Linked DNA regions of Arabidopsis thaliana. The protein of the gene in region 3 interacts with the protein of the main gene of each other region in a biochemical or structural test. Each region holds a gene or a part of one and is shown on either strand. Other genes may lie near its edges. The genes, in order: CDT1A, CDT1B and ABAP1.

Region 1 (10,510 bases), on a different chromosome or scaffold from region 3:
AAGTTAAACAGCAAAAACATCCAATTCTTAGAGTAGGATGTTCAATCCAAATAAACCAAACCGGCTCAATCTCTGAACCGAAAACAACTGATTCTACAAGCAAACAAAACCTTAATTTGACTATTTTCTCTATTTTTGTCATTTAATAAACCGAGACAGAATCTGATCCAAACCAAAGAAGTAAAATACCAAACCAACACTTTTTTAGAAACATAAAGATAGGTAGTTAAATTATAACCAAAATTGAAATCGCATCAAACCACATTATACCACTCGGTAACATGTTTTAGATAGATACAAAATATTTTAAATCGTAACTTTTTAAATTTTAAAACTAACTAAAATCTAGATTGTAACATCTCTAATTTTAAACTATTTGTGAATAGTTTGTAACGATATTTTTCAAGTGTAAAATTACTTTGCAAAAACAAGAACAAAAACAACAATTGTTAGGCTCGAATTGACGGCCTAAAACAATTCCTAGTCCAAGTTTTTTTTTAAGATGTTGACATTTACAAAGATGATCTTTGTAAATACATTTATCTCAACAATTCACAAGTGTTTTCTGTCGACCATTTGGTAAGTTCATCAAAACCCCAAGGGTTGAGAGTATTTTGAAATATGTATATCAGATTTGGGTTCCACTTAGAAATTAAAAAATGATGATGTTTTACAATTGATAGCTCATAATATTCTATCTGGAGGCTCTTATTATATGCTCTCATGACTTGTTTCCATCAATGTGTTCTAATGCAACGCACCAACTCAACATCTATTTTCCCCTTTTCATCATTTTTATCTGTTAACTTGTTTAGCTGTAATTCAATTAATAATCCATATAAATATATTATCCTTCATTTTTAATCATTCTTTTTTCCTACTTTATTTCAGAAATTTTCAATTTAAAACTCTAAATATTATAAAATTATTCAAAACAATGTTTTAAGATTACACACGAATAGAGAAAGCTGAACATAAATTGTACCATTAGCTTACATATACATGGAGAATTTTTGGTTAAATAAATATTCATGACATCGTCGCCTTTGAAGTAAGTCATTGAGATTTGAGATAACTAAAGATGTTTTCATGAAGTCGTTACCTTCTGTTAATGATTATTTCCTTTAAGCCAATATCATCCTAAATTTTGCAAGTTCTTTGTTTTTAATATGTTTATATTTTGACATTTAACAATTACTGAGCTATCTTTAAAAGTCACATTTAAAAAAAGGGAGACAGTTGCACTTTTGTCGATTATTCATAAATTTCTATTCCACCGATAATTATACTAATAGATTTCTATATGTTTCCGAAAGTTGGCATTAATTAGAACAAAGCATGCCTGTATCAAATTGTTTCAATGTCTTTCAAATGAAAGAGCTTTTGATAATATGTTTTAGTGGACAACGTTTGAACTATAATGACTTGGTCCGTAACTGATAAGCCATGCAAATAATTCTTTTAATTATTTTTTAGTTATGAATTAAAAATACATTTGGTTTGAAGTGATTTGTTATTCTGTTTTTTTTTTCCCCAACAATTATGTTCAATATACTATTTATAAAAAAAAACATACTTCACAAGACTTCTTAATTTCCTCTGCATTGGCTTATTTGAGTCAATATAATAAAGTTATTGACAATAATAAATGTTTCGTAATTTCGAACTCACATGACTAGCTATGTATGACATATATTTTACCATATGGACATGCATGGTTTTGGAACCCTTTCAAAAACATTTTTGTAGCATTTTGAACTTATTATTATTAGTTACAATTATAACAGAATATCTATTTTAGATTTTCATAAAAAAGTAAAGTTAAACGAATTTTTTTCTACTAAACTCTCAAATTTTTTTTATAGTAAATTAACTATTGGTTTTGTAAAATACTGAATACCAAAGCATATGTTTAAGAATTATATGTATATCACATAGTTTACAGAAGAAGAAGAAAAACTTAAATTTCTGCAAAGATAATATAATTTAATTTTTCTAAAATAGCAAAGAGAAATAAAATGAAGGTGAGATATCCATATTCTTTTTACCAGAAAGAAAATAAACGAATCTTAAAAAATAGATTCCAAAGGTAGGGTTTTGAAGGTTTCTCCAAAAAGGGAATTGGGTCAGAAATTGCTTAAAAGAGTGGCAAAGGTCTCTCTTTTTTTTATTTTTCTTTTTTGGAGATTTTAATTTATAACTTATCTCTCTATTTTTTCTTCTTTAATAAAATACTTTTGTTATATAGTACAGTATATTACTGTTTGGGAAAGGCTTTTTCAAAGGAAAACAATGAGACTTAGGAATGTATGATGGGACTACTTGTGGTCCATACAAGATCTAAGGAATCTAATAATTATTGTCCTTATAAAGAAAACAAAAAAAAAAGAGAAATCTCACTCAATACAAAATTCCATTTTTTCTTCTTCTTCTGATGTATTCTTTTTGGCTCATTGGAATGGCCATGAAAAATCATAACCTACCTCACTACCAAAGTGATATCCTCCAGTTTTATTTCTTGATGCATTATTTAGATGGCTCTCTTTTTAATCTGTTGTTTTTGTTTTTAGTTTCACTTATTTCATTTACCATAGGTTATTATATAGTAGAGATGTAAATCGTGTGTATTGATGGCATATGGATAAAGTAAAATGAAGAAGCTTTGTAAGTTGTGACAAGATGACTAGAGAGTCAATAAAGATGACCGGCCTATAGTTGTTAATAGTGACAATATAGCTTGAATTAATTGCTAATCTAGAAACTCAATAATCATTAGTCGTCAATATACAAATCTATTGAAACAAAAATTATTGACAGTCCTAATATTATCACTTAGGAATTTAGGAAATAGTCTCAACGGATTAAGGAGAATGCAGCAAAGGTTCCTTCAATTACATAACATAATTAGAAAGAGAAGTATCATTTCTAGGATTGAAATATGTTAGCAATGTTCTATTAAGCTTTTCTGATACAAAAATGTATCTATTAATGATAAAAAGACTCAGTATTTATGAGAGAGTGGAGGAGCGAGATCGGACACGACGATGATGATGATGAAGGGTTTAGTATTTATTTTAGGTTATTTGGCGCGAATCCGACTTGTGATGGTGCCACGTGGACTCCCGCCGAATTCCGTCCGTTAATACTTCGCGCGATTTTCTTTGTGAAAGCCCAGTAGGCCCAAATGATGCTCTCAGAAACACACCTCTCTCTCTTTTTTCATTCTGTCTTTTTCTCTTGTGCAAATAAACCAATATATTTTTAAGCTGTGAAATTGAATATTATTGAACATTGGGTTCACAATATACCAGAAATTTTCTTCTAATTCACGGAACCGAAGTCCCAAATGGCCAATGACCCTTTGGAACTTCGGTAGAGGAACTAAGAGGAGTATTAAAGTGGCTTGAGAAATTAAACTTAGATCCAAAGGAACTGGTTATTTGCCTAACATATATGAAAATGTCTAACGGATTTAATCAAATATAAAGGGACATAATCAGAAAGAGAATTGTCATCAAGGATTTAGATATGTCATGGTTGGGAGATTAAATCTGATCTCTTTCCATACTTCACACAACAACGGTCCTTATAGTCTTGTTCTATAAAGAATTCTGTTACAAAATGCATAAAATTACTCTTTATTGATAGAGAAATAACCTCATTGTCATAATTCAGAAAAAGATGAAAACACCTTCCTAAATAGTTTGTCATCTACTTGTTTTCACCCTTTTACTTTACTTAGGAACTTTATAACTTAGTAGTCTCTACACATCTGTCTCATGAATAGACTATAACATATTTGGCAGTCCAAAAATAAGTTAGAACCCAAAGTAACCGCAGCCGATGGAACCACGATCTCAAGAAAGCAGTGGAGCCATCTCTTGCTTGTTTTCTTCTTCAAGACGTGATCGGATTGTTAGAGGAGATGCCAACTTGTTTATGCTGCATATTAAAGTTGCTTACATGAGCGATCCATAAAACCAAGAAAAAGTGAGTTGAGTATATGTGAGATATTAGACTCACCATACTAGAACATCTCCACTTGATGATTTTTTCTCAGACATCCATTCAGGGACAATTTCTTGCAGTAAGATTAGTTGTTCTTCAACTTCCTCTGAAAAATGTAAGTGAGGCAAGAACAGTTAGGATGGTTTTCAAACAATGTAAAGAAAAGTAATAATGAGATACTTAGTGGTTAGAGGGCTTACTTCTGTCAGTAATATCAGAGTGACCGGCAATGATCTTGTGCACAAGCTCTTCTTTTGTGATAACCCAACGCCTTATCGATTGAATTAAGTAATGGATGACATTGAAAAGTTTAGGTAGACAAGCGATCATCTTTCGCCTTCTTTTTGCCAGAGAGATTGCTGGATTTTGATCCTCAATCGCTTTCCTCTCTTGTTCTTTTATCTGAAATGAGCAAAAAAACAATCTCAGTAAGTAAAGCCAATCTCAGTTTGTACTTCTTAATCTCAAACTGAAAAGTATAAAGCAAAATTACGAGAAGAAAAGGAATCACTAATAGAGATGTATTACCGCATGTCGAAGTTTATCAGGAAGTATGCTGAGTATTTCATCATCGCTGGATACATCTTCTTCTGGTACTTGATCAATGGGTATATCATCTGTGAAATCCATAGTTCTCTCATCCTCAGGATAAGAATCAAAGTTCAGAGACAAGGAACGCCTCACGAGCTTAGTCGGTGGGTCAGCAGAAATATCATCTGGATTTGTATGACCGTTGCTTCTTTTCAGCGGACGAGCTGCCAGAGAAGTACTCATCAGCCGGGCAGGAGTTGAAGCAAATTCAGGTGGAGTTGCAGTAATGACTGGTGTTGAGTCAATAATCGCCGGTGTTGAAGGAAACTTAGCCAGAGTTGACACTGGTTTGACTGGAGTTGGCAATATATTAATCTCAGACAAAGTCTGTTTAGCAGGAGTTGAAGTTGGTTTGGTTGGAGTTGGAGCAATGTTAATCTGAGACGAAGTTGGTTTAGCCAGACTTGAAGTTGTTTTGACTGGCGTTGATGTGATGGGAGATGAAAACAATTTAGATGCTGGAATAGAAGCCATCTCTTCCATGAGAGAACTAACACGCTTGACTTCAACATTTGAGTTTTCAACTGGTTTCCTTCTATTGAAGGGCTCAGGAAGCGGTTCCTCTGGAACTTCATCACCCTAAAACAGAGAATAACACCATTAGTACTTGAATAAAATCACAATGCAACTTCCAAAATCACTAAAATAGATAGGGCATTATACCTGAGGGTGAGCTTTAACAAAATCCGCAAGTCTAGCCCGAAACACTTTCCGAAGAGCGATTTTCTTACTTTCCGATTTCGACTTGTCGTTGTATTCAACAGCATCGGCATTGAGCGTAACATGAAGGTCCGGTTTCATACAGCAAGTAGTTTCATCATGTATCAATACTCTCTTAATCTCAATCGCTTCAGGCAATATATGCTTTATTTGAGCCAAGTGACTATAACAAAACCTCCTGAAATATACATCCACACAAGAATTATATAAACACACCAGAAACAGACTCGTGAATATCTAAAATCTAGAAAAGTTATCGGAGAAATCTATAAAACCCAGATCTAAAGTATTCTTTTGTCTCATCGAACCTATAAAGTATAAAAAGCAAAGATCAAAATGGTTTATTTATTCAGATCAGATCCCATAAACACGATCTAGATTATTAATTTGTCTTATCGACTCTATAAAGTTTAAAGGCAATAACCAAATTTGGCTTATTTATTCAGATCAGATCCAATCAGTGACAATCACAAACACGATTCAAATTGAAATGTCAGGAAGACTACCTCTCGGTTAAATGCTCGATTTGTTTAGAAATGTTGGAGAATGTTGGCTTAGAACCTCTTAATTTCGATAACAACATCGAATTATCCAATGCTTCAAAGAACTTTCCCAGATTCTCGTACCTGCACAAATCCAAATCCTAATCAGTTAAAAAGGGGAAAAAATTGAAACTTTTTATAAACCCTAGAGATTAAAACTTACTTCTCCGGAAGTTTCTCTTTCTCTGCATTTTTGTTAGAGCTTTTACGTTTTGAAGGAGAAGATGATGATGAATCGAAAAAGAGCCTGCTTTTGGCAGATGAAGCAACCGGATCTTCAGATCTGCGACGAGATCCAGCGGCTTGACGAATTTCTTTCACTGATAAAGCCACAGATCGGTTTCTCGATCTACTAAGCATGTTCTCAAGTGGTTTTTCCGGCGTAGGCAATGCTACAGAAGACGGATTTGGATTCCCGGTTTGAGATTTCGAAGACGGCGAATCCATCACCAATCGTTTCTTCGATTTGAATGGAATGGATCTAGAAGAGCCTGGTGTACTCATTTTTATCAACAATGTCTATAGAGTGTCAGATGCAGAGAGGAGATAGTGGAGGAGATAGATGAAGACGATGAAGACGACGGAAGAAGAAGAAGGGTTTAGATTTATTTAGGTCTTTGGCGCGCAATCCTACGTGTACCAAAGCCACGTATACCTCCCGCGCCTATTAACCCGTTGCTTCCCGCGAAAACACTTATCTACGAAGAAGCCCATTAATTAGGCCCATTATGAATTGCTGTCTCTGAACGAATCTAATAGATGCAAACCAAAGAGACCAGATTTCTTTTTTTCAACTTGTGATTTTTTTTATATGAACATGATTTATATAAGGTCGTCGTGCAATGTTTATGCTGCTTGTTCAGTATTTATAGTTTTTTTGAAAAATCAAAGATAATCTCATCATAAGGAATCTTATCAACAGTAAAATATTAAGATAAAACAGTTAGCCCAGCAAATCAAATATAATCAATGGTTTAGTTTATGTTTTCTATGTTTCTCTTTCTAAACTTTGAATATATTTACCACATCCTTATTTTAAATCATAGAATTAAACAGTTTTTAAATGATTATGATATTTTTTCTATTGTCATTTCTAATATTTTACTAACAAAACTTTAATTTTATTTGTCTATTAAATGTTATATTTTTCCGGTATTGTTATTTCTGTATATACTTGAACTTTTTCTTATTAAGGTTCGTCGTTTCCATTTTATTTTATATTATATTTGCTAATGAGGAAATCTATATAAAATCATGAAATAAATATTGATTATTAAAAGAAAACACATAAATATTAAACATTGAATATTACCACATCCCTATTCTAAATCAAAGAATTCAATAAATTTTCAATGATTATGAGATTCTTTTCAATTGTCATTACTACTATTTTCTTACTAACAAAACTTCAACTTTTCTTTTTATTAAATGTTATACTTTCCGATATTATTATTTCTCTATATACTCTTATTTAAATTTGTTGTTTTATGTCAATATATGAAGTTTTGATGATTATAATAATAAATACCAATTTTTATTTCTTTTATCGGTTTATCGTCTAGTTGACAAAAAAAAATATAATGCCGTTATAAAATAATTATAACTTTCATGAGTTTTTATTTTTGATTAACATTTAAAAAATTAAAGGAGCTAGATGTATCAATTTGTATTATATTATGCTCTGAGACTAAATATTGATCTTGATACCAAGAATCTGATCTAGATCCAAAATTTATGTCAACTGACTCACTATCATATTTTCAAAACTCAATTTTAAAGTTAGTAATATAATGTACATCTTAACTATTGTTTTTTTGGGTCTGTTTAGAATCTGGGCCGGTGCCCACTCAAAACAATCGGCCCATTATACAAGTTGTTAAAATAAAATTCAATATATCACATTAAAGAAAAATTACAATTTTTTGGCTTCAAGACTTTTTTTTTTGTGTGTGCAAAGACTTTTTTGGATTCAAGCTAATAAATGTTAGATTACCTTTTTAACCAAAGATCAAAGTAAAACCAAAATCATAGAAGAGGAAGAGAACTCGTGATCACGTTTCTTTGGTTAAGTAATGTTGTATAGAAGAGAAGAGAAGAGAAGAGGAAGAAGAAAAGCCCAAATCGAAAATTGAAAACTAGTACTCCAAACTCCAAAGCATCAATATTTTATCACTCCTCTTTTCTTCCACGCAAACCCAATTCTCTTCGTCTTCTTCTTTTGCTTTTCTCCCCTAAATTCGTCGATCAAATTCTTGTCTTTTCAACTTCTTCATCGAATTTTCCATTGCCCATAGCCTCTGTATTTGATTCCTCCTTCTCTAAAGCTTCGGATATTAAGACAATTATATCTTCCTAGCTGCTTATAGACCTTCGCTTTCTAATTGCTGTTCCTTTCGTGGGTCTCTGGTAAGTTTTGATTTTCTCATCTGCTGTTATCGAGAAAGGTTGATTTTTTTTGATTAATCGCACTGTGATTTAAGGTTGGAGGAGATTATAGTGTTAGCTTAAGGGTTTTTGAGGTTTCAATTTAGAATCGTATTGCTCCTGATCATTTCCCTGTTAAAAGTAGATAAACCCCTTGTTCTATTGGGAAGGAATTCGCCGTTTTTGCTTCGTCTTCTTGTGAAAAATAGAGTTGGTTTTAGGTAATTGACTTTGATCAAGGTCTATTGGTTGTGCAAAGGTTGCGTGAATCTTGTGTCAGCCTCTTGATTGAGTATAGATTACTTCGTCTTCGCTTTCTCTGCACCATCAATTGTCATCAGAGTGCTAGGCATTTAGTGCATTGTCCAAAGATTCTGCTTGTGCATGAATGCTATTGTTGAAAAAGAAAGGAAGTGTTTGAAATCGAATAGTCTTTTGAGTGTCAAGCAAAGGATAGGTGGGTCTGGTTTATATCCATCATGGTGGAAAACAGATATAGAAACATTTCTTTAGCAGGTTATGCCACGAGTTCCGTATCCTTGGTTTGTCTTTCTGCGTTTAAGGATTTGATTTGCCTTAGTGTCTCATTGGTTAGTATATTCATTGTATGTGCTTCTAGCTTGAACATTTTAGTGGCACTTTTTTGTTTGCATACATAAATTATCTCTGTCATTAGGTGATTTGCATTGTGGATGCTTTATGTTATTCATGTTTGATGCAGGATTTGTAGTTGCATTCTCATTGCGCACTACACTTTCTTCAAATTTCCGCGTGGTAAGCAGGGAATGGACCGGCTGTTTTGGCCAATCGTCTGTGTTTACAAATGATGAGCAGTGGGCATAAGGGTCCAAATGTACGTAACTTTTTTAAATGGCAACGTGGTGAATCATCATCGTCTTTGACTACTGGATTGCTTCATAATGAGTCACACGAGATTGAGCTATCTAACTACGGAGGAATACCAAGTCCTGGTAGTGAGAGCCCATCGGGACTTCTTAATGGAGAGAGTTTAAATGTTCAACCAATTGCTGATTTGGATCTTTTTGTCGAAAGGCTCTACAGCTACTACAGAGACAAAGGACTTTGGTGTATTATAGTAAAGTGGGCTGTTGAGCTTCTAAGTCTGGGCTTCATCATATGCTTCTCTGGGTTTTTCTTGCTGTATGTTGATTGGAATGGTCTTCAGAATGCAAAATGTGGAATGGATGCAGTTGAATCAGGAACTAAACCATGTGATCTTGTCAAAGAAGCTATCCATCCGCATCCTTTATCCCCTTTCACGCTCACAACTGCTATAATTGTTGGATATTTGGCCCTCTTCTCTGTGTACTGGCTCTTCTGCTTCTTAAGGTTTTTTGCCCAGTTGAAAGATACTTTGGACTTTCGGCACTTTTATTACAACAAGTAAGTTGGAAGTTGCAACATGCTATGAATAGTTATTGCTAGAGCAAAACATGCATTTTAGGTCATAATTGATTTTCTTTCTTTTTGTTGTAAATTTGCAGTCTCCATGTCACAGACAATGAAATCCTTACTATGCCATGGGCAACAGTCCTTGAGAAGGTTGTTCAGTTACAAAGCTCACAATGCCTTTGTGTGGTTAAGGATCTTTCTGCTCATGATATGGTTATGCGCCTTATGCGGAAAGAAAACTACTTGATTGGAATGCTCAACAAAGGTTTGCTTTCTTTCCCAATTTCCCATTGGATCCCTGGTGCTGGTCCAGCAGTCAAATCCGCACCAGATGGGACACAGTATCACCTTGTATTGACAAAGACCCTTGAGTGGACCCTTAACTGGTGCATATTGCAGAGCATGTTTGACTGGTATGCTATTCTCCACGCTAATCTTTGATCTAATCTGAAAACTGCTTTCTAATAACATTGTAGATATAGGATTTTATGAACTGCTATAGTGATAAATGGAGAGTTTGTGATGCATATGGAAGTTTCAGTTTTGATGATTTGCTTTTTCTTGGTCAGATTGTAGTGATCTTTTCAAGTTAATAAGATTGTCCTGTTAGAGGTTTTCTCCCTGTATATATATTACGTCAGTGAAAAATTGCGTAAGTTAATAAGATTGTCCTGTTAGAACCTACATGGGAGTGGCCGAAGTGCGTGTATGTTATATTTCATATTCGTAGTTAACTACTAGTACTACGGTGAAGAGTAAGGCCATAGAATGAAAAATTCCTTGCACATGCTAAGAATTGTCCGTTTTGTCTA
Region 2 (10,097 bases), on a different chromosome or scaffold from region 3:
ACATCATCGAGTGATATAAAAACGAATTAAAACAAACTGAAAATGATACTCAAACGAAGAAAAATAGTATTTTGGCCACCCACTACTACTCAATCAAACAATACACATTTTCATTTTTGGTTCGTCAATATCGCAGCTTTTCATCATTCCACTAAGCTCAGTAATTTAGTGGGGGAAAAAGGTTTTCAAATTCTAGTTTCTTAGATTGCTGACTCTGTTGAAATTCTAGTTTCTCGTAATTACACAAAGAATTAGTCTTTGTTATTATTTCTCGGAGGTTGATGAAAAAGAGATTAATAAACAGAGTTTTGACCAAGACAAAAATACTCATAAAGACAAAGAAGACAAAAACGTAAAAATGAGACTGAAGATTATTTCATAATAAATACTTTGGCTCATCAGCCACTATACTTACTAAAACAATTTACTCTCTCTCTCTCTCTGCAATGTCACAACCTCTCACCACCAGACCCACCGTTACCGGAATATCTATAATCCCTTTCCGACAACCGCCGCCTCTCTGTTCTTTCCTCTTCGTCATCGTTCTTTTCGTCGCCACTTTCTACACTCTCCATCATCCAGACGCCGTTACTCCTCCTCTTCTATTTTCTCGAAATGCCTATAATGCCCTTCGTCTCCGCCGCCTCTTCCTCTCCTCTGCTTCTAACGCCACCATCTCCTCTTACCTCCGTGAATTGACCCGTCATCCTCACCTCGCCGGAACTAAACCCTCTTTAGACACACTTCACTACGTCTTTAACCATTTCCAAAGCCTCGGACTTGAGACCCATGTCGCCGAATACGAAGCTCTCTTATCTTATCCTACGCACATCTCCGTCACGGCAAGTTTTAGCAACACGACGACTCTTGAGTTTGACTTAAACGACGTTCCCGGAGACTCTCCGGTCGTTAGGCCTTACCACGCTTATTCTCCATCTGGGTCGGCGCAAGGTAACGTGGTTTTCGTGAATCACGGCGAGGAGAGAGACTATCATGCGCTTGAGTCTATTGGTGTGAGCGTTAAAGGGTGTGTGGTTTTAGCGAGGAAAGGTGAAAACTTGGGAAGAGGAGCAATTGTGAAAATAGCAGAAGCTAAAGGTGCGCTGGGAGTGCTAATATACGCCGAGAATGACGGTGGTGGATTTGGCGGGATTGAGAGAGGTACGGTTATGAGAGGAATCGGAGATCCGGTTAGCCCGGGTTGGCCCGGAGTTGTCGGAGGAGAAAAACTGAGCTTGGATGACGAATTGGTCACTCGGAGATTTCCCAAAATCCCATCTTTGCCTTTGTCTCTTCGTAATGCTGAGATCATTTTGGCTTCTCTGGGCGGTGCTAGAGCTCCGTTGGAGTGGCGGAATTCGGGTCGTGTCGGACCGGGTCAACGGGTTGGCCCTGGACGGATGGTTATTAACATGACGTTTCAGGTTAGTTAACTAGAATTTTGCATTTCCGTTATGTTTTCTTTGGTTTGACTTTTGTAATTTTCCGTTATATTTCTTAATTATGTGATTAATTTTCGTTACTTCTTGTGTGTGTTACTTCTTTAAATTGTAGGGGGAGATGAAAATGAAGAAAATTAACAATGTTGTGGTTACAATAAGAGGGAGTGAAGAAGCGGATAGGTATGTGATACTTGGGAACCATAGAGATGCATGGACATATGGAGCTGTTGATCCAAACAGTGGAACTTCTGCTTTACTTGACATTAGTCGACGATTTGCTCTTTTGCTTAAATCTGGTTGGAGACCACGTAGGACCATTCTCCTTTGTAGTTGGGATGCAGAAGAATTTGGAATGGTTAGTAAATTAGTAACTTCGAAAAGTTGAATCTATATATGATGCTTCACTAAATTACTTGTGTTCTCTTTTTTGTTGTATAGATTGGATCAACTGAATGGATTGAAGAAAATGTTCTTAACTTAGGTGCAAGTGCTGTTGCTTATCTTAATGTAGATTGTGCAGTCCAAGGCTCTGGTTTTTTTGCTGGTGCAACTCCTCAATTAGACGGTCTTCTTGTCGATGTCTTGAAGCTGGTAAGAATACTAATAACCGGGGCATTCTCAAGCGTTGTTGAAAACTTATACTCGTAGGAAATGTCTTAGTCTCTCGTATTCATCTATGCGTGGTCAGGTACAGGATCCTGATGCAGTAGGCTTGACAGTGGAAGAGACATTTAAGTCTCAAAATAACATTGTGAGTAGACTATTCAAAAGAGCTCATACATTGTCTTTGTAATGTAAAACTATGTAATGTTTTAATGAACTGCAGATTCAGAGGCTAAGTAGAGTAGATTCTGATTTTTCCGGTTTTCTTCATCATGCCGGGATACCGTCTATAGACATGTACTATGGAGCAGGTCAATGAGAACATGATTCCTTAAGTCTTGCAAAATATTCTATAATGTGATGTTTTAATGCAAGTAATACCAATAATGTATGTTGTTTATCCTTTCTTTCAGATTATCCTGTCTATCACACTGCATTTGACTCCTATGATTGGATGATCCACAACGCAGATCCATTGTTTCACCGTCATGTTGCTAGTAAAGATTTCACTTCTCTCTTTTGATCTATTATTATCTTTTAGTTATTTGTTCTGTTTTTCATGGATGTTATGAAGAGAATTCACTCTCTCTTCTTTGCTTTCTATATTTATCAGTGGCTGGAATTTGGGGACTTTTAGGAATTCTCTTGGCTGATGAGCCACTCATACCATTCGATTACATCTCTTATGCAGACCAATTGCAGGTAGATTTCTTTTACTCACACCTTTTATACGTAGAATAGTAGGAAAACTGAGTTTATGTTTTGTGTAATGATTCAGGCACATAGAGATAAACTGAGCAAGCTCTTAGAAGGGAAAGTCTCTGTAAATCCCTTAAGCATGGCGATACAAGAGTTCTCTTTGGTTGCCAAAGAAGCCGCAGATGAAGCAAAGGTTTCTAATGGTTTTGCTAATTAACGTATAACCTCAATCTTTTGCTTCTTTGTCTCACCTATACATGTTTTGGTGATTGATTTGCAGAAGTTAAAGGGAAAATCATATAGCAAAAATGATGTAGCAGCAGCGGCGAAGAGAAGAGAGCTAAATGACAGGTTGATGCTTGTAGAAAGAGGGTTTTTGGATGCAGAAGGGATCAAAGGGAAGGAATGGTTCAAGCATCTTGTGAGTAAAACTTTTTTATTCAGTCAGATTTTCACCAATTTTGCAAACCTCATGAGACCTTGTTTGTGTTTTATGCATAGGTGTATGGACCGGCGGCTGAGCCAGAGAGCAAGCTAGGATTCTTCCCGGGAATAGCAGATGCCATTGCGATGAACGCATCAGAGGGAATAATTGAGCACGAGATATGGAGAGTCGCAAGAGCGATTCAGAGAGCAAGCAAAGCTCTTAAAGGAGGTTTCACATGAGAAAATCTGAAAGAGTTCTCTTTTGTGTATATATTGTGACTATAGATTGTAGAAGAATAACGTCTTATGAACTAATTTTCATAACCATTTATGAAACAAACACTATAATCTAATCATATTCAAGACTAACATTTTTTTTTAATTCTTTTTTTGGGTTAATAAAACTAATTTATACTGTAACCTTGGGTATGATATCAACATCTTAAACATCATTGCAAAGGACAAATACTTTCTTCGAGTAATATAGAAAGAAAGAACAATCACTATCTTTATTTTTAGAGTATGCTTTTCGGTTTCAAATGTTTAATCCTTTTAACAATCTAATTATTTTAAGATGAGCTAGAATCTTTTCTTTCAAAAGTGTATGGTTCATTTACCTTTACATTCAAACACTTCTCAATCTATCTTCTAAGATGTCATATGATTGGAGAGTGATGACTGTGTTTCCCTTTGGTTTTGTTCTTTTGCTTTAGTACTACTCTTTTCAAAATTTGTCGATTCGACGAAGACCTAGCGAATCTTGTTCCTTTGCCAAACCTTATTCTCAATCTGAGTCTTACACATTTTTCTCTGTAGCAAGAGCTTCTTAAATTGGTATCCACAGACCACAGTTAACAACAAATACAGTTCTTCTGCATGTAGTAGAATTAATAATCATCAAATGGTGTTTTGTCTCCTGATTATTCTCGAATTATGTAAAACGAATGTTACAAGTTTATAGGTTGGACCAGCTTAGAAAGAAGATATTTGTGAAGAATAATGATAACTGAATTGGTGAAGAGGATGAAAACACAAAAAAAAGTTTCAGTTTTATGGTTTTTCAGTAGATAAGTGAAATGTCATGTGAAGTTGCTTCTTCAAGTCTTGCACGTACTGTTTCGGCAGTCGACATTTTATTGATGCTGCAAAAAGCAAAAGATATACCAGTATTAGAGCCTCAAGAAGCAAATTAGATATTTTCAATACAAAATGTATTTTTTTGTTTCATTTGTGAAACTTAGAGCCAAATAAAGAAAATCATAATCATTTTTGGTGGAACATACTCACCGAACAAGAAGATCCCCAGAAGATGCTTTTGTTTCAGATATCCAATCCGGGACCAATTGCAACATCAGACTTAATTGTTCTTCCACTTCCCCTGGCAATGCAAGTAAGAAAGAAACTGTGAGCCTGTCAAGGAAGAAAAGGCAGGGAAATTATCAAACATTCAATATTAACTGTCCCTACTTCTATCAGTTATATTGATTTGGTTTGCAATAATCTTGTAAAGAAGCTCCTCCTTCGTGATGACTGTCCGATTTGTTGAGTGAAACACTCTATGAATCAAATTAACAAGCTGTGGCAAATTGTGCTTCTCGGGTTCAGTCTTTGGTCTCTCTATCATCTGCAAGACACAAACACACACACAATGGTAAGTAAGGATGTCTGTTTGCAACTGAAAACGAATATATCCGGAAACAATGTGAAAGCAAAATTGTTGCAGGAAAAAGCATCACTTACTGACTGAAGGAGGCTATCATCATCAGAAGCATTATCACCTTCATAGTTGCTTTTTTCATCACCAGATTCGTTACTAATGTCATCTTTCACAATTGTTTCTTCCTCAAGAGTGTCAAAATTCAAACTGCGAGATGGACCTTTTACTGACTGGAGAAGGCCATCTTCTTCATAGTTGATTCCTTTATCATCAGATTCGTTACCAATATCATCTTTCTCAATTGCATCTTCCTCAAAAGTATCAAAATTCAGACTGCGAGATGGACCCCTTGCTAGACTATTTGTTGATCTAAGAGAGTTATCATCACCACCCTCTGGAGTCAACTCAATACATCTTTTAGATAGCTGCAACGTCGGTGTAGCACTCATGAGCCGGATTGGCGTGGACAAGTCTTTGGAGGGAGTGGATAAATCTTTGACTGGGGTTTCAACTATTCTTGATTCTATGTGTGACAAAGTAGAATCAGGAATGACTTTGTTAACATCTTGTTCTTCTTGCTCTATCTCCTCCATATGAACATCAAACCCTCCAACTTCAAGTTTAGGTTCTCCTAAGCCTACGCTTACTATACCTGAATAACTATCCCTTTGAGGAGAATTGAATGGTTCAGGAAGCAGTTCTTTCGGAATTTCGTCCTGCATACAGAAAACAATAGATGGAGAATCCATCAGATATAAAAGCATTATTCAAAAAGCTACAACTAATTAATAGATTAGATAAGCCTAATAATGTACCTTAGGATGAGCTTTGCGAAAATCTACAAGCTTTGAGTGAAACACCTTTCTAAGTTCCATGTATTTAGTTCCACAAATGGTATCCTCAACTACAATTGCATCGGTATTTAATTTAATATGAAGCCTAGGTTTCATACAACAAGTGTCTTCAACAAACTTCAAAACTCTCTTTAGTTCAATAGCTTCCGGATAAATATGCTTCATCTGAGCCAAATGATCATACGAGAAGATCCTGTAGACCCAAACAACATTAAGCAAATACAATCAAACAACACACACACACACACGATTGATCATATGCATCAAAAAGTTTAATCCTTTAAACTCTCAAGATTCAACAGAATCCGTTTAAACAAGAAGCGTGAAAGTCAATGACTTTACCGATTAGTAAGATACTCGATCTTGGGACATATATTAGCGTATGTCGTTGACGAACCCTTTAATTTAAGCAGCCTAATTGCAGTATCCAAACCATTGAAAAATTCCTCCAAAATCTCGAACCTGTAATGCCAATAAAAAAATCAACAAAATTGAAAGAATAGTCCAAATTTGAGAAAAGTGTATGAACAAATCAATCAATCAATCTCACCTTTCGGGCAATTTTATAACAGATTCAGGTTTTGGGGACGAAGAAAAGATCTGCCTTTTAACGGTTTTGATAGGAGTCTTGGTAGAAAATAGTGACTCGGAAACCATAACTGGCTTCTCTGAATCAATTTTAGACGACGAGCTCATTGCTGAAAAGAGAGATTAGGGAAGTGATGTGAAGTTAGAGAGCGTAACGGCTAATAGAAATTAGGGTTTTGAGCTCTCATTAAAGGAAGGGTCAAGAGGTGGAAGAAGAAGAAGGCAATCTATAGCTGTGGGCCCATATTTGCCACGTCACTCAAACCGATTCTAAACGTTGGTTCCCGCTATTTTTCTTAACCATAAATTGGTACTACGTCGTTTTATGAACGATCAAAGAAAAAAAAACAATTTGTATTCCTATTGATAGAAGATTTTGTGTCAAATAACACTGAATTTTTAAAGTGTTAAAGTTTTTTTACATTTTTATTTTAAATTTCACTGAATTTATTTATTATTTTGTCATCATTTTCTTCTTTAGTTTATAATATGAATTTTACTATATTTACAAATACTTCTGGGAAATTCAACGTTTTTAAAAAACGGTTATACAAAATAATGTATGTAAGAAAACACAGAAGACTGGGGTTAAAACGAATCAATTTCCAATTTTCTACTCTTTATGGCAAAATAATATCTTGCAAATTCTGCACTTATTACCAAAAAAATAAAAATAACAGCTCATCATGTGTCTGAAGTCTGAATCTTATTTTTTCCCCAAAGAATATTCGAAATTATTACTTAAAAACGACTTCTTGTAACCGTAAGTCTTAAGAATTCGAATAGACAGTAAAACAATTTCCAAAACAGAAAAAAAATTAACAGCAAAACAGAACCAATAGTGTCTCCTAAAAGAAGTAAAAATAAGGTGGAGGAGAAGTAGTCAAATAGAAGAAATAAAAGCGACGTCGTTGTCAGAAGAATATACCACAAGAATATGTCAAAACAAAAACAGAAATATGATTACGTATAAGTAGCCGTTCCCGACGCTGCCTCTTTTTCATTTTCACAACACCATTTCTTCTTTCTTTCTCTCTTACAGTTTCTGAAGAAACAACAAACAAACAAACTAATACTCTTCTCTTCTTCTTCTTTTTTCTTTCTTTAAGACAATCCCATATTAGAGATTGTTTGCGAGAAAGTAAGCAAAAAAACAAAAAAAACTTTCTGTAAGTTAATGTCTTCTTCATAACTATGTGCTATTGAATCTTTTATTAACTTTTATTATGACTTGTTGTTGAATGAGAAATGAGGTTATGCAAGCGTCTGGTTAGTGTTGTTTATAAATTATATAGCTTTTGTGTCTGTTGTGTAGCATGTGTTTGTGTTATGTCTATTAAATAGAGTAGTTTCCTAAGAAACATTTTCTATGATACCTGATCAATGTTTTGATAGACGACAATATGTATGTGGAAGCTAAAACTCAAATCGTCTTTTACAAAATTGTTCAGTAAACTATGATTATACAGCTTTTTTGTTGTTGAAGTTCTGAGATTGAAACTTAATTCGTTTACAACTTTCTTTCTTGGATCAGTTTATTTTGGCACATTCTTGGAACAAAAACAAGATAAGTGGTCTGAAATATTTTGTGATTTAAAGGAAAGTTTTGACTGTCATTGAACTGTACATTATGGAATATGATCAAATCTTTTGTCGGTGTGCGTCACCATCTTACTTCGTGTCCCGTTTTTCATTTCCCACGCGTCAAGTCAACCTTTACAAATACTTACGCCAAAAAGATATAAAAATTGATGAATTTGACGAGTTTTTAAACCTTTTTGATGATTATAGATTAAAATTTTACTATAGTTTATTTTCTGCATATAAAACGTGTCTGAAACCAGCTTATGTATATGAATTTGATACTGATTACTTAATATGTGTTACTTAATATTAACGCAGAGGAAAAGAGAAAGAGAGCAATGGCAGGAGATCAACTAAACGTGCTAAACGCACTCGACGTCGCCAAAACGCAATGGTACCATTTCACGGCGATTATAATCGCCGGAATGGGATTCTTCACCGACGCTTACGACCTTTTTTGTATCTCACTCGTCACAAAGCTTCTTGGCCGTATTTACTATCACGTGGACGGCTCAGAGAAGCCAGGAACGCTGCCACCAAACGTCTCAGCCGCTGTTAATGGAGTCGCCTTCTGCGGTACACTCGCAGGCCAGCTCTTCTTTGGCTGGCTCGGTGACAAGCTTGGGAGGAAAAAAGTTTACGGTATGACCCTCATGGTCATGGTTCTTTGTTCCATCGCTTCGGGTCTATCCTTTGGGAGTAACCCAAAAACAGTGATGACTACACTATGTTTCTTCCGGTTCTGGCTTGGTTTCGGCATTGGTGGTGATTATCCGTTATCCGCCACGATTATGTCTGAATACGCTAATAAAAAGACCCGTGGTGCGTTTATAGCCGCCGTTTTTGCTATGCAAGGGTTTGGAATCTTGACCGGGGGGATTTTTGCCATCATCGTGTCTGCCGCTTTCGAGGCTAAATTTCCAGCTCCAACCTATCAAATAGATGCCTTGGCATCCACGGTTCCTCAGGCGGATTATGTGTGGCGGATCATACTGATGGTGGGTGCTTTGCCTGCAGCGATGACGTATTACTCAAGGTCCAAGATGCCTGAGACTGCCCGGTACACGGCTCTTGTGGCCAAGGACGCGAAACTAGCGGCTTCAAACATGTCTAAGGTTTTGCAAGTGGAGATCGAAGCAGAGCAGCAGGGAACTGAAGATAAGTCCAATTCCTTTGGCTTGTTTTCCAAGGAATTCATGAAACGCCATGGCCTTCATTTGCTAGGAACTACAAGCACATGGTTCCTACTCGACATCGCCTTCTACAGTCAGAACCTATTCCAGAAAGATATTTTCAGCGCAATCGGATGGATCCCTCCGGCTCAGACAATGAACGCAATTCAAGAGGTTTTCAAGATTGCACGTGCACAAACCCTAATCGCCTTGTGTAGCACGGTACCTGGTTACTGGTTCACAGTGGCCTTTATTGACGTCATTGGTAGATTTGCGATACAGATGATGGGTTTCTTCTTTATGACCGTCTTTATGTTCGCTCTCGCCATTCCTTACGACCATTGGACTCACAAGGAGAACAGAATCGGATTCGTTGCTATGTACTCTCTAACATTCTTCTTCGCCAACTTTGGACCTAATGCAACAACTTTCGTTGTGCCCGCTGAGATCTTCCCGGCTAGGTTTAGATCAACCTGCCATGGAATTTCCGCGGCTTCTGGAAAATTAGGAGCAATGGTTGGTGCGTTTGGGTTCTTGTACTTAGCACAAAGTCCTGACAAGACCAAGACAGAGCATGGATATCCTCCAGGTATTGGAGTCAAGAACTCCCTCATTGTTTTGGGTGTGGTTAATCTTTTGGGGATGGTTTTTACACTGTTGGTTCCTGAATCTAAAGGCAAGTCTCTCGAGGAAATGTCCGGTGAGAACGAACAAAATGATGAAAGCAGCAGCAGCAGCAACAACAACAGTAACAACGCAGTGTCAACTGCATAGAGAATTCTAAAAGATTTTGTTTTTTACTCTTGTATCTTTGTTTTCTATGTATTTCTTCAGGTTTCTTCTCACTAGCAACTTAAGTTCTCTCTATGTTTACTTATTATTGATCGTTAAATGCAATAGGATCTGATTCTTTTTACATATAGAACCGCTTTTCTTCTGTTCATTGTGACAAACGACAATGGGTTAATGGAAAGGTATTATGATGTAACTGTGTTTTTCTTTGTCATCACTGAACTAAAGAAGAATTGTTTGAATCATACATCCATTTGTAACAACACAAATCCAAAACTGC
Region 3 (11,601 bases):
GAACAACAAGTTCCCTAGGTTCTTCTTCAATTCTCCCTTCTTATTTATTCATTGCTTACAATTGCTATATATTTTATCGAACATATAAAGAAAGAGTTAAGAGTTAGACATGCATATATATGCTTTAGCCAATTCGAATCAATCTCCAATTAATGTGTATATGTATCATTCACATCGGCCCTAGATTGATCTTAACTATTCTGCAATATGTGTTTTGATTAATTTATCGTTTTCATCTTCTATAGCTAGCCGAGATACATGATCTATTTGTTTCTCTATCTAATAATTAATCAATATTTAATATAAATACACTTTTGGTCAACAAATCATAGAAATGTGCTTTTGTGAAGAAATTTGATGATTAATTACTCTTCTAAAAGACTCGATGAATATATGTATATCCTATTCACATTTTATTCTAGATTGATCTTTACTAATTGATTGGGATATGGATATGGATATTGATTTTTTTTTTTTCTAGTCTATGTAGCTAACAATCAGCGATTAAAAATGAAAGTCTTTTGGTAGACATTTTTCTTCTTATAATTTGGATTCGGGAACATATATGTGACAGTTAATTACTCTTCTAAGAGATTCAAAAACAGTTATTTGCATATAGAGAAGTGAAGTGTTTTGAAATATAACTAATGGTTTATATATATAAATGTGCAGGAGTTACTATAGGTGTACATATGGAGGATGCAATGTGAAGAAGCAAGTGCAAAGATTAACAGTGGACCAAGAAGTGGTCGTGACAACCTACGAAGGAGTGCATTCGCATCCCATCGAGAAATCCACCGAAAACTTCGAGCATATTCTCACTCAAATGCAAATCTACTCTTCTTTCTAGTTAATTCTCTCAAAATCTTTTATACCTTATTTTAGAGCCTATAATTCTTAGAGCTCATGTTGTAAATTATTTACAAAAATTAGAATGTTACATTTTACGTGTGTTGAAAAGAAAAACCATGCATGATCTGATGATCAGCTGAAGTTTGTATCCTAATAATTTTTAATAAAAATTTCAAAAATTGAGTGTAGTCTATTACTGATAGCAGCATATAATGCACATATTAAATTTCAAACAACTGTTGCTAAACATATTATTACGGTTATCTGATAAATAGTAATACTAATGGTTAGGCGTTAATAAGATATGTCATAGTCTCTAACTACCCACCGAAAGTTGTAAGAAAACTACATGAGGTATGGGAATCTGAAAGTTAGCTAGGTAAGTGACAAGAAAGTAAAAAATATCAACGGAGAAAATGACTTTACAATTCTTAAAATTAAATCAGTAACAAAATAAACCCATTTTGCTAGTTAATTCTGCTATCAGCAATGATGCTCTTGAAACAGTGACAAGAGAGTCATTGTTCTTCAGCACCGTCGCATCAGTTCTTGAGTAATCCAGTGTCTTTTTTGCATGTAACCAACCATCTTCGTGTAAATGTATGTAATTGAGCCTGAAATCTTTATTATCAATATCAAGATGCAAACCGTTTGGATTTGGATTCAAAAATTTGGATAAAAGCTTCACAATTCAACTTTCAGTTGCTAACACAAAACAGGAGTTACTGAAACAAACACCAATTTGATCTAAACTGTTTCATAAACTTATTATAACCATGCTCCAAAAACGTAGCTCTCTTGACTTACAAAACATTCAAGAATCACAAACCAAGAAGATACTGGAATCTAAGAAGTTTTGATCTTTAGATCCGAGCGGATTCTGCTTCCATATACTTACAAATCCTCTCCATAACCTCTCTTCCTTTAGCGCTATTCTGCATGAATTTCTCTGCGCACTTCTGTTCAACCTTCTCAGCCATTGAGGCCAGAGCCGACAAGGGTTTGATCCGAATGCTTGTCTCCTGGCTACAAACAGTCCAGGCTGATGGATTATCTGGATGCGGATCATATCTTATCCTCTCCTCCACTTCAATGAACTTTTTGAGACTAATGTTCTTTGTTGTTAGCTGGAAAACGAAATAGTTGAGACATCTTAGCTAATCCAAACACTCATCTATGGATTGTTGTTTATGACTTCCAACTACTAAGAGATACTTCATGGCATGCTAATCAAGTTCCAATGAAACAGATCACAGCAAACTAAAACAAGTTCCTTATCTTACAAATTAGGCAACTTCTTACTAGAACAAATCCTTGGTTGCTATATAAGCTAATCTAATCACTCATCAACGGTTGTTTACGCCTTGTATCTACTAATAAATACTCTATCCCAATCAGAGCATAGAGAAAAGCCGATGATACCTGCATAGAACGTGATTTGCCATCTACAACTGTTGATTCAACACAGTGACAGATGTCCTGACCAATGATCCTATGGAGAAACCATGGACCAGGAGCATGGATGGTGAGAGCACGCGTGGTGTGGAGTTTCCCGGTCTCAGTGTCGAGTTTCCTGTTCAAGGTATCGACTTCAAGGATGTGAGAAAGGATGCGTTTGTTTTCAGGGTCTGCAAACTTCCTCCATGAAGCAGCACTCACCCGCTCCCACGGATGCTTGTAAACATGCTCTTGTCTGTATGCTTTTACCATCAAGAATCTAAACCCAAATCATGAATGTTTTGTGTGAATAGGTGAAAGTGTAAACGAGATATTTTACTACAACAAATAAAAGATTTCTCAGATAAGGATCTAACCACATGATTTGGTCTGCAAAACATTGTTTTTAGCTATGAGGATTGATAAATTTCAACAAACAAAGACGAAGAACACTAACAATTTGGAGAATTTAAACATTGATTTCGTAAATAAAATTGATCTAATTACGGAAATTCTAATTTCAAATTCGGGAATATTCTTCAACGATTCCGACATCGGCGTGAATCAAAACGCACTTAAGAAACACGAAAGAAGAATGGCAGTTTTTGGTACTGTGCTAACAAAATTGAAGGAAACAGAAGAACAAAGAAACGTAATTTAACAGTTGACTCGATTGCTAATCGAGATTTAAAGGAGATTGTGGAAATTGGGAGGAGAGAAGTACCTTGAGAGGTCGGCAAATTCAAGATCTTGGTGAGCTTCGAGAAGTAATAATGACCCAAAAGTGGAGGACGTGACGAGAGTAAAAATAGAGAGGAAGCTAATCAATGGCGGTGTTTATAGAGAGAGACTTGCGGCTTATGTTTACGAACCACGATGTTTCTCTCTCTCAGTCTCTCTCGTAGACGGCACTAGTTTTTGGGCCTTTATTAAGCCCTATTCAGAGACCTCATTCATTATTGGGCTTTAATTGTGTTGAAAAACTCATAATTTATTGTCATACTCTGTGACTTTTTTTCCTTAAATGTTTTTCTCATTTTCTTATATACATAGTAATTATACTAATTTTCTTAGATTATGCAAATTATGCAAATGCATGCAGCAAAAAAAGGATTAGGCAAAAGCATGGATGTCCAATGTGGTTTTTGTTAAGTTTGGTTCAAACATTTTCAACACAAGGGACAAAAACCAGACATTTGTGTTACTGTTTCAAGGCATTCAAGATCTGAAGGTAACAAGAAGTATTCATGTTGCAGTTAATGTTACACATTTTGAGTTTGATTTTTCCTAAGCAACTTTCTATGCCGCTTTAGAGCCATGTTTTCTCGACCATTTGTATTTTGTAGTCTGATGTTCTCAGCCATTTGTAAAAAAAGTCATTTTATAAGCTATGTTTGAGAGCCTCTTTGGTATTATTGAGTTAAGCAGTTTATATTAGAGATATAGCAGTAACAAAATACAGACCGGTTATCAAAAGAAAAACAATTTTACCTAAGTAAAGTAAATCAACTACTTCAAACCGGAATCCTATATGTTTTATACGACGGTTGGGGGACTAGCTTCGACCGGCCGTGTGAGAATATCAGTCATGTAACTCCGAATTTCAGGTATAATTTGCTTGACAAACTTTGCAAACCTGCATTAGGTAAATCAATCGAAACTTGATGAGTGAAATAGAAGTTAAATTTCCCAAAAAAATTATAACGATGTAATGATTTTGCATACCATAATTGAGAGCTGAGCTTAGTGAAATGCTCAAGAACAAAGAGCGTGCAAGCTCTTCTTAAGGCTGAAGCATTGAATGTATCTGCTAACTCATACATCTCTGGTATGTTATCCAGACAGATTTCCTGCACAAGTAAAGTCCATCTTATTAAAAACACACAAGAGAGATTAGTCCTTCTGTGCAGAAAAATTAAGACCTTGGTTTTACGTTTGTTACCTGTGCAATGGTGTATTCACATTGACGTTTGAGACCTTCGAGAAGATATTGATCAGCTGCTACAAGCAGATCTTTTGCCAAATGTTTGGCGATGTTAATTCTTCCTGAGTAAATGAACTTCATCATAAGCTCAAACACTTCCCATCTTATATTTGGTATCTCCACATTTTGAGCATTGCGTTCCTATATCCAGTTCTCAAAGTTAGTTAGATGATATTCTGATGAGATAAGTTACCACAATCGTGATTCAGTAGCTTACCTTGTAAAGACCATCAAACATTGCACGAAATATATCAGAGGAAGCTACCAAGCCAATCTTGTGTGCATAGAATTGTTTACCTAACATAGGACATGGATATACTCATTAAAGAATGTTCTCACCGGTGGATTCTATAGAATCATAAATGGGGTTAAATGTTATACCATCAATTAGGAATGTGACATCGGACATAGTGGGGTTGTTCACGAATTTTTCACCCAGAAACACCTTCAGTATAATAATCAATAACAACAAGTCAAGACCTCAAATCACAAATTATTTGATGCTTGAAAGAAGAAATGGAGATTTTTTTACCTGTTGTGTGGGTGAACAAGGAGCTGAATCCTCTGGTGCAAAGGATGTAGCTTTTTTAGCTAACTCGTATAAAGCACTTGAACTATATCTCTGCTGCTTATTGCTTGAGAAATAGAGAAGTTCCAACAAAAACTCTACTCCTGCATAAGTAATACTTCAATAGATCAGAAACAAAAAACCACAGAAAATTTTATTAGAAAATGAAATTCTGAATATATGAGATGCTTACCATTGTTATCAATAAAGATTAATTTTCCATCTTTAGGGTCACAAAGATGTGCAAGAGCCAGAGCAATTCGTATTTGTACTGTCTTCTCAGCGGTTCTCATTAGGTACAATAATTGGTTTAGTACCTAAGAAGGTTGAGACATCAGGGGATTAGAAACATCGCAAAACATAATTGAGACCCAGAAGTTCTAACAGAAGTAGGTACTCACAGGTCCGTGAATCTTGTTCTGCAGCCTCTTCAATGTCCGAACCACACAATCTCTAGTCGGCTGCAAATAGATTACTTACAATTAAAGTTTGAAATTCTTATTAGATTGGTTTTGCAAATATAAGCAGTCAAATGCATACTTGGACAGTAAAGTTGTCATCTTGAAGCTTTTGAATACCTCCAGCCTTTATGAAATCTGCTACGTTTTCCTATTGACGGGAAAATTAATTAAGTACTCACGGTATGTCAAGTAAGCAAAGAGTATAGCTACATATAATACTATTCATTGCGAGTCGAGTTTACCTCGTTATCTGCAAGGCCATACAAAGCAAAGGCAGCATTGTGTTGCACAGACCCCGTTTTCACATCAAGAAGATTTAGTAGTGAGATGATGCCTCCTCTATGTGCAATGCCAGCTTGATTGTGTGCGTCCTGCAACATTCAAAACATACAATTTTTGTTTTATCACAAAAGGTCTGATTTAACAATCATCTACAAAGAGTCAGATATTAAAAGCAACAAAACATTCACATGCTAATTCAAAAACATATATACCTGAGCCAAACGACCAAGAGCAAAAGCTGACATTTCCACGACCTGCTCATCTGATGATTCAAGCATCTTAATCAGTGGTGTAATGGCACCTCTCTGGGCAATGTGCACCTGCATGATCATGTTGCCAGTTATGTTAAATATGTTCTCTCTAGTTAGAATCCATTCAGTTATATCGTAGAAAAAAACGAGTTTGAGTGAACATAACATGTGCTAATATTATAGTACAACAAGAAAGAGACAATCCCATACCTTGCAATCTGAATCAGGCGCAGCAAATTGACCTATTAATAATGCTGCTTCTCTCTGTGTTTCCAAACAAGTGGAGCTGTAGCAGATATCATGAAAAACAGTTACAAAACATAATTCAAAATTTCAAGAGCTAGCATCTGTTCCAGCAGAAGTAGAAAGAAAGTAAAATAAGCATACCTAAGTAGACCAATTACTGGTTGTAAGGCACCAGCACGGATAACCTCTTTCTTGATGTCAGGAGATGAGTGGACAAGATTTCCAATTGCCCCAATCTGAAAGTCCATAGTACATTAGAAAGAACTGAACAAATCAAACCAATTGCAACGATCTAAAGCAAGATGAAGAACTAACCGCTTCCCCGTGAACGGTAGAATCTTGTGATTGAAGCATCAATACAAGTGTGGGTAAAGCATTCAACTCCACAATCTACATAGTTGCGCATTATGTGAGAATCATGCCTTTCATAAGCCTAAACAAAACATAATCATAGTAAAAACATACTTGACTCTTGTTCTCGTCGTTTCTAAATGAAACTGTTCGCAAGGCCCCTGCCGCAGCCCTCTGTACTTTAACATCCGGAAAATTGAGAAGCTCAACAAGTGGTGCAATGCCACCTTCAACCCTGTAAAGCATTTTTAAAAGGTGTCAAGTGAAAACAGCTAGTCATCACCATAACCAGTAAGGATCATGAGATATTAGTACCTTATATTTGTTTTAATCCTTGGATTGTCATGAGCAATGTTAGTAATTATATCAGCGGCTCTCCTAATAACAGCATTAGCAAACATGCATTCACCACATTCCCCACGTCTCTTCAACAACTTCACGGTGGGAACTATGGCTCCAGCATCCACAATAAGCTGCTGGTAACCAGGCTATTTAACAGAGAAAGCTAATATCAATATACATCAATCCAAGCTAAGTACATCTAAGATAGTTGCAAATCGCCCATTTCAAAAATTCTAATGTTAACTTCCAACAGAGATTGAAATTACACAACATCTCATCCACAATTTCATCAAAAACAGCGAAAGAAGGGTTACCTGAATCGCAGCAATAAGTCCAAGAGCAAGAGCACAATCTTTCTCTAGCTTGTGCTCGCAAGATTTGGGAACATTGCCACAAACTACCAAAGGGGATTCCAGATATCTCACCAAAGCAGGGATCGCTCCATTTTCCACGATGATTTCAACATTTTCATCTATATAAACAGATGAGAAAATCAATTAAGCCAAAAAAAAACACTTCTAGGTCTCGCCTTACTGAAAATCAAAGTACTATGGGCAAGAACAAAACAATTTCTATGTAGAATCCAAAATTAGAGTGAATCCGTTGTCGAGAATTGACTCAAAATTGAGCAACTCAAGGACGAACAAGCAAAGAGAGTAACACGTTTTCAGTTTTAGCCGCCGATTAGAGGTAAAATGAAGAAGTACGGTACCGATTTTAGCCAAATCGGCGATATCAGCAGCAGCTTCTTTGACAGCTTCGTGATCAAAATCAGGATCTGAGAAGCTGGAGTTAAGAACCTCGACGTGACGGCGAATCGCGACGACGAGATCTATGGGTTCGTCGTCAATATCAATAAGTTGTGTGACGATTGGCGCTCCATCTGTGTTGTGACTGAGTTTTCGCTTCAAGTTTCTGGCGGCGAGGCGTGTTGTTCGCTGGCGCTTGGGATGGTTCTCCATTGGCGGATGGTTTGATATCACCGGCGCAGTAGAAGATTTGACGGAGAATTTGAGCGGTGCTTTGAACGATTTTGAGATTATCATCAGGAGTGGAGAGAGCGTTTTCTTTATAATACCAAAGCCTATTTGGCGGGGTTTTGAAATTTAGTTTTTCATTTGGGAGCCAAATTTCCCTCCTTCCACTCAGAGGGAATTTATTATTTTCTTCCATTTTTTTTGTTATTTTTGGTCAAAAAGATTTTTAAATTATTTTCTCATTAAAACACTAATAAAAAGGCTAAACTAAAAATAAAAATCCTACACATATGGTGAAATTAAAATTTTATTTTTGATATATTGTCCTAGCACAAATTTTAATATATTTTCTAAAAAATATAATCTAACTTTTGGATAATTAACTTTTTAATTCATCCAAAAATTGTTTTGGATTGGGATATCTTGATTTTAATGATCACATATTCAATATAGATCTACAAATATATCAAAAAAAAAATTTCCATGTTTTGTTAATTTATTAATAGAATTCATATAAACTAGATGATAACGTAATCAACACGTTTTATTGATATAGTTAAGTATCTCTTTTTGATGGTTTCATGCCAAATTTCTAGTTCATCTAACTGTTGATCTTGCATTTAATTCACAAGTTATTTATCATTGTTAGTCTAAAAGAAGTCTAACTAACCTCGATGTAATGTCAAAATCAAATATGAGAACCAAAATCTTTTTTTTGTTGTTGCTGTGTGTTTCAAATTTGCTCTGAAATTTCAAATTTGCGAAATATTTGAAAACTATGATGTATTCAATTGTTATTTTCATGGATTATTATGAAATTCTTTTACCTCAAAAGTGGACTTGTTTCTTTTTCGCTTGTTGTTGAGATTGCTCCCATTCTTTATGTTGCTAATGAGCTTGAATCTAGTAACGCTAGGTTGACTTATTGGTATAAGTTTTTCTATAAACTCTTTTCTAACATTTTTTATTATTTTGATATTTAATTTGTTGTTTATCTGTCAATATAAAAAATACTTACATCGACAATAAAAAAAAAGTTTACTTAGGCAATACTCATTAGTACAATTTGTACACATTCAATCACGTCATCTTTCATAATATTGATATTATCCAATGATACAAAAACATAAGAGAACATTAGTAACTCTTCTAACACTAAATATATAAAATCAATGTTCAAAAATGAAAGCTCAACAAGATAAATAGTCTAATTGAAATAAAATTTTATGGTCCCTGGTTAGGGGATGTATAGCCTAGACTTGTTCATTTAAGAAAAAAGGTTCAAAAGAGGCACATATGAAAAAACAGTCTAATTGGTTTTTGGTTTGATTTGTCTGAATATGTGTTCTTATTCAATGGTGAATCCAAAAGATCTATATTAGAAACTTAGAAATCTACGATGGAGAAAAATTGTTTATTAAAATCCAACGTGTTATTATTAAAGTTATTTGTGATTACCGCAAACTTTAGATCAAACCATAAGCCCATTTAATCTAACCAAAGGTCAATATATCTTTTTTTCTTTACGGCCAAATATCTTATTAATATAAGAAGAGTTTGCTACATGCTTTGGTTAACCCAGGAGATTACATATGGTGATTCCTGAATTCTAGCGTATTTGTAGCTTCTTTAAAATTTGGTTTTCATTTAGGAGGCAAAATTAAATTTGTTCCCTCGTTCCACTTGGAGCGCCCTCGTTCCACTTGGAGCGCAAATTTGAGTAATCTTTAAAACACAAAAAAAAAGTTAAAAACGCTAAAAAAAAAAAAAAAAAATCATACACATATGGTGAAATTGAAAATTTTCTTTTGATATCCAGTCCAATTGCAGCGCAAATTGAATATTTTTTTATAAATATAATCTAGTTTTCGGATGGTAAAATTTTTAATTTATCGAAAAACTGTTTTGGATTCAGATATCTTGATTTTAATGATCACATATTCAATTTAGATCTGCAAATATATCAAAGATTGTTTTACGTGTTTTTGTAAATTTATTAATAGAATTCATATAAAACAAATTTCTAGTTTACCCAATTGTTGATTTTGCGTTTGCCTCATTGATTCACAAGCTACTTATCATTGTTAGTTCAAAAGAAGTCTAACTAACCTCGATGCAATGTCGAAATCAAATATGAGAATCAAGATCTTATTTCCTCTGAAATTTCAAATTTGTGAAATATTTGAAAAACTATTATGCACTCAATTGTTATTCATGGATTATCATGAAATCCCTAGCCATTTACTACTTATAATTTTAATCTAACAAATGGTAATTAGTTGCATTTCTCAAAATAAACATGGATGTTAATTGCCAATGCAATAATTTTCTCCTTAGATTAACTTAACATTGCGCTATACCTCAATAGTGAACTTGTTCCTTCTCCACTTGTTGTTGAGATTACTCTCATTCTTTGTGTGGTTATTGAGCTTGAATCTAGTAAAACTAGGTTGGCTTATTTGTATAAGTTTTTCTATAAACTCTGTTCTAACTTTTTTTGTATTTTGATATCTAATTTATTGTTTATTTGGCAACATAAAAAATATTTATCTCGGCAATAAAAAAATACTTACCTATGCATTACTCATTAGTGAACAATTTATACACATTAAATCACGTCATTTTCATAATACTAATATTATCCAATGATACAAGAACATAAGAGAACATTAATAACTCTTCTAACACTAAATATATAAAATCAATGTTCAAAAATGAAAGCTCAACAAATATAAATAGTTTAATTGATATAAAATTTTATGGTTCCAGGCTAGGGGGATGTATGGCCTATACCTGATCATTAAAAAAAAAGGTTCAAAAGGGTCACATATGAAAAACAGTTTAAATGGTTTTTTGATTTGATTTGTCTCAATACGTGTTCTTATTCAATTGTGAATCCAAAATGCCTAAACTATAAATCTACGATCGAGAAAAATTGTTTATTAAAATCCAACGTGTTATTATTAAAATTATTTTCGATTACCACAAAAATTGGATGTGTTAACACATCAGCTTGGTCTCTTATTAAGTCGTCATCTAGAGAATTGTTTAACAAAATCAGCAGATGAACACGACTAAACTATCAATGAATAGACTCTTTGAACTGGTACTGTAATTGTTAATGAGTAAATTTTGTTACAAACGTTGGTGTTTAGGTAATCAGAATAATAAAGCGCAAACTTTAGACCAGATCCTAAGCCCATTTAATCTAACCAAATGTCAATATATCACTTTTTTACGGCCAAATATCTTATTAATATTAGAAGAGTTTGCTACATGCTTTGGTTAACCCAGCAGATTATATATGGTGTTTCCGGCATTCTAGCATTTTTCGCTAATATATGAGCTACATGATTATGATCTCTGCCAATACATTTAAAGCTGAAATCTTTTGGCACCAATGCTAGAAGGTCTTCTAGGAAGTTATGGATCTCTTTGTTACCAGGTAGCGCGATTTCTTGTGTCATGACTTTCTCAAGATATTTGTAGATGATACTAGAATCGCCACAAAAAAACACATAATGATAGTTGAGAACTGCTTCAGTTAAGGCTTTAGCCTTCGCTTCAATAGCTGTAGCAATGGGCTCTATAGAGGAAGAGCCCTTGAGAAGCTATGAGCCTTGAGCTTCAGTTAACACCCAACCTATACCCGCCTTGCTATTGGCATTCACCCATGAGGCAAATATATCTACAAAATTTAGATAGGCAAATATTAGTTCAGAACCTCAAGCCATTTAATCTAACCAAAGGCCCAATACATGTACAAGTTAAGGTTGGCAAACTTTAGTTCATTACTTGAGAGAATATACAGTAGAGAGGAGTCGTAAATTTTTATGAATCACATTTTGGC

The links.
Region 1: the proteins of ABAP1 (region 3) and CDT1A form a complex in vitro, tested with the Arabidopsis thaliana proteins (one study listed by BioGRID).
Region 2: the proteins of ABAP1 (region 3) and CDT1B form a complex in vitro, tested with the Arabidopsis thaliana proteins (one study listed by BioGRID).

The regions. Positions count from the first base shown.
Region 1 is NC_003071.7:13,324,892-13,335,401, reverse strand, and holds CDT1A (CDT1-like protein A), read right to left. Parts: upstream 6,541-10,510; 5' UTR 6,366-6,540; coding exon 6,025-6,365; intron 5,946-6,024; coding exon 5,826-5,945; intron 5,498-5,825; coding exon 5,263-5,497; intron 5,179-5,262; coding exon 4,537-5,178; intron 4,411-4,536; coding exon 4,209-4,410; intron 4,115-4,208; coding exon 4,024-4,114; intron 3,943-4,023; coding exon 3,858-3,942; 3' UTR 3,571-3,857; downstream 1-3,570. Other genes in the region: APG9 (autophagy 9 (APG9)), read left to right, coding at 9,109-9,689, 9,791-10,111. UniProt on the Arabidopsis thaliana protein: Member of the pre-replication complex. Component of the plastid division machinery. Promotes polyloidization and regulates endoreduplication. Involved in the coordination of cell and plastid division.
Region 2 is NC_003074.8:20,248,165-20,258,261, reverse strand, and holds CDT1B (CDT1-like protein B), read right to left. Parts: upstream 6,451-10,097; 5' UTR 6,378-6,450; coding exon 6,232-6,377; intron 6,144-6,231; coding exon 6,024-6,143; intron 5,875-6,023; coding exon 5,643-5,874; intron 5,544-5,642; coding exon 4,911-5,543; intron 4,795-4,910; coding exon 4,638-4,794; intron 4,549-4,637; coding exon 4,458-4,548; intron 4,313-4,457; coding exon 4,231-4,312; 3' UTR 3,939-4,230; downstream 1-3,938. Other genes in the region: AMP1 (Peptidase M28 family protein), read left to right, coding at 447-1,424, 1,555-1,797, 1,881-2,033, 2,131-2,193, 2,269-2,356, 2,459-2,542, 2,659-2,747, 2,824-2,937 and 2 more; PHT1;7 (phosphate transporter 1;7), read left to right, coding at 8,192-9,799. UniProt on the Arabidopsis thaliana protein: Member of the pre-replication complex. Regulates endoreduplication. Involved in the coordination of cell and plastid division.
Region 3 is NC_003076.8:4,139,177-4,150,777, reverse strand, and holds ABAP1 (ARMADILLO BTB protein 1), read right to left. Parts: upstream 7,869-11,601; 5' UTR 7,821-7,868; coding exon 7,487-7,820; intron 7,247-7,486; coding exon 7,089-7,246; intron 6,921-7,088; coding exon 6,748-6,920; intron 6,668-6,747; coding exon 6,547-6,667; intron 6,472-6,546; coding exon 6,397-6,471; intron 6,318-6,396; coding exon 6,223-6,317; intron 6,122-6,222; coding exon 6,046-6,121; intron 5,905-6,045; coding exon 5,797-5,904; intron 5,674-5,796; coding exon 5,545-5,673; intron 5,451-5,544; coding exon 5,382-5,450; intron 5,303-5,381; coding exon 5,243-5,302; intron 5,159-5,242; coding exon 5,035-5,158; intron 4,946-5,034; coding exon 4,806-4,945; intron 4,719-4,805; coding exon 4,655-4,718; intron 4,571-4,654; coding exon 4,491-4,570; intron 4,415-4,490; coding exon 4,232-4,414; intron 4,140-4,231; coding exon 4,015-4,139; intron 3,926-4,014; coding exon 3,826-3,925; 3' UTR 3,638-3,825; downstream 1-3,637. Other genes in the region: WRKY75 (WRKY DNA-binding protein 75), read left to right, coding at 1-18, 673-850; AT5G13070 (MSF1-like family protein), read right to left, coding at 1,716-1,979, 2,275-2,562. UniProt on the Arabidopsis thaliana protein: May act as a substrate-specific adapter of an E3 ubiquitin-protein ligase complex (CUL3-RBX1-BTB) which mediates the ubiquitination and subsequent proteasomal degradation of target proteins.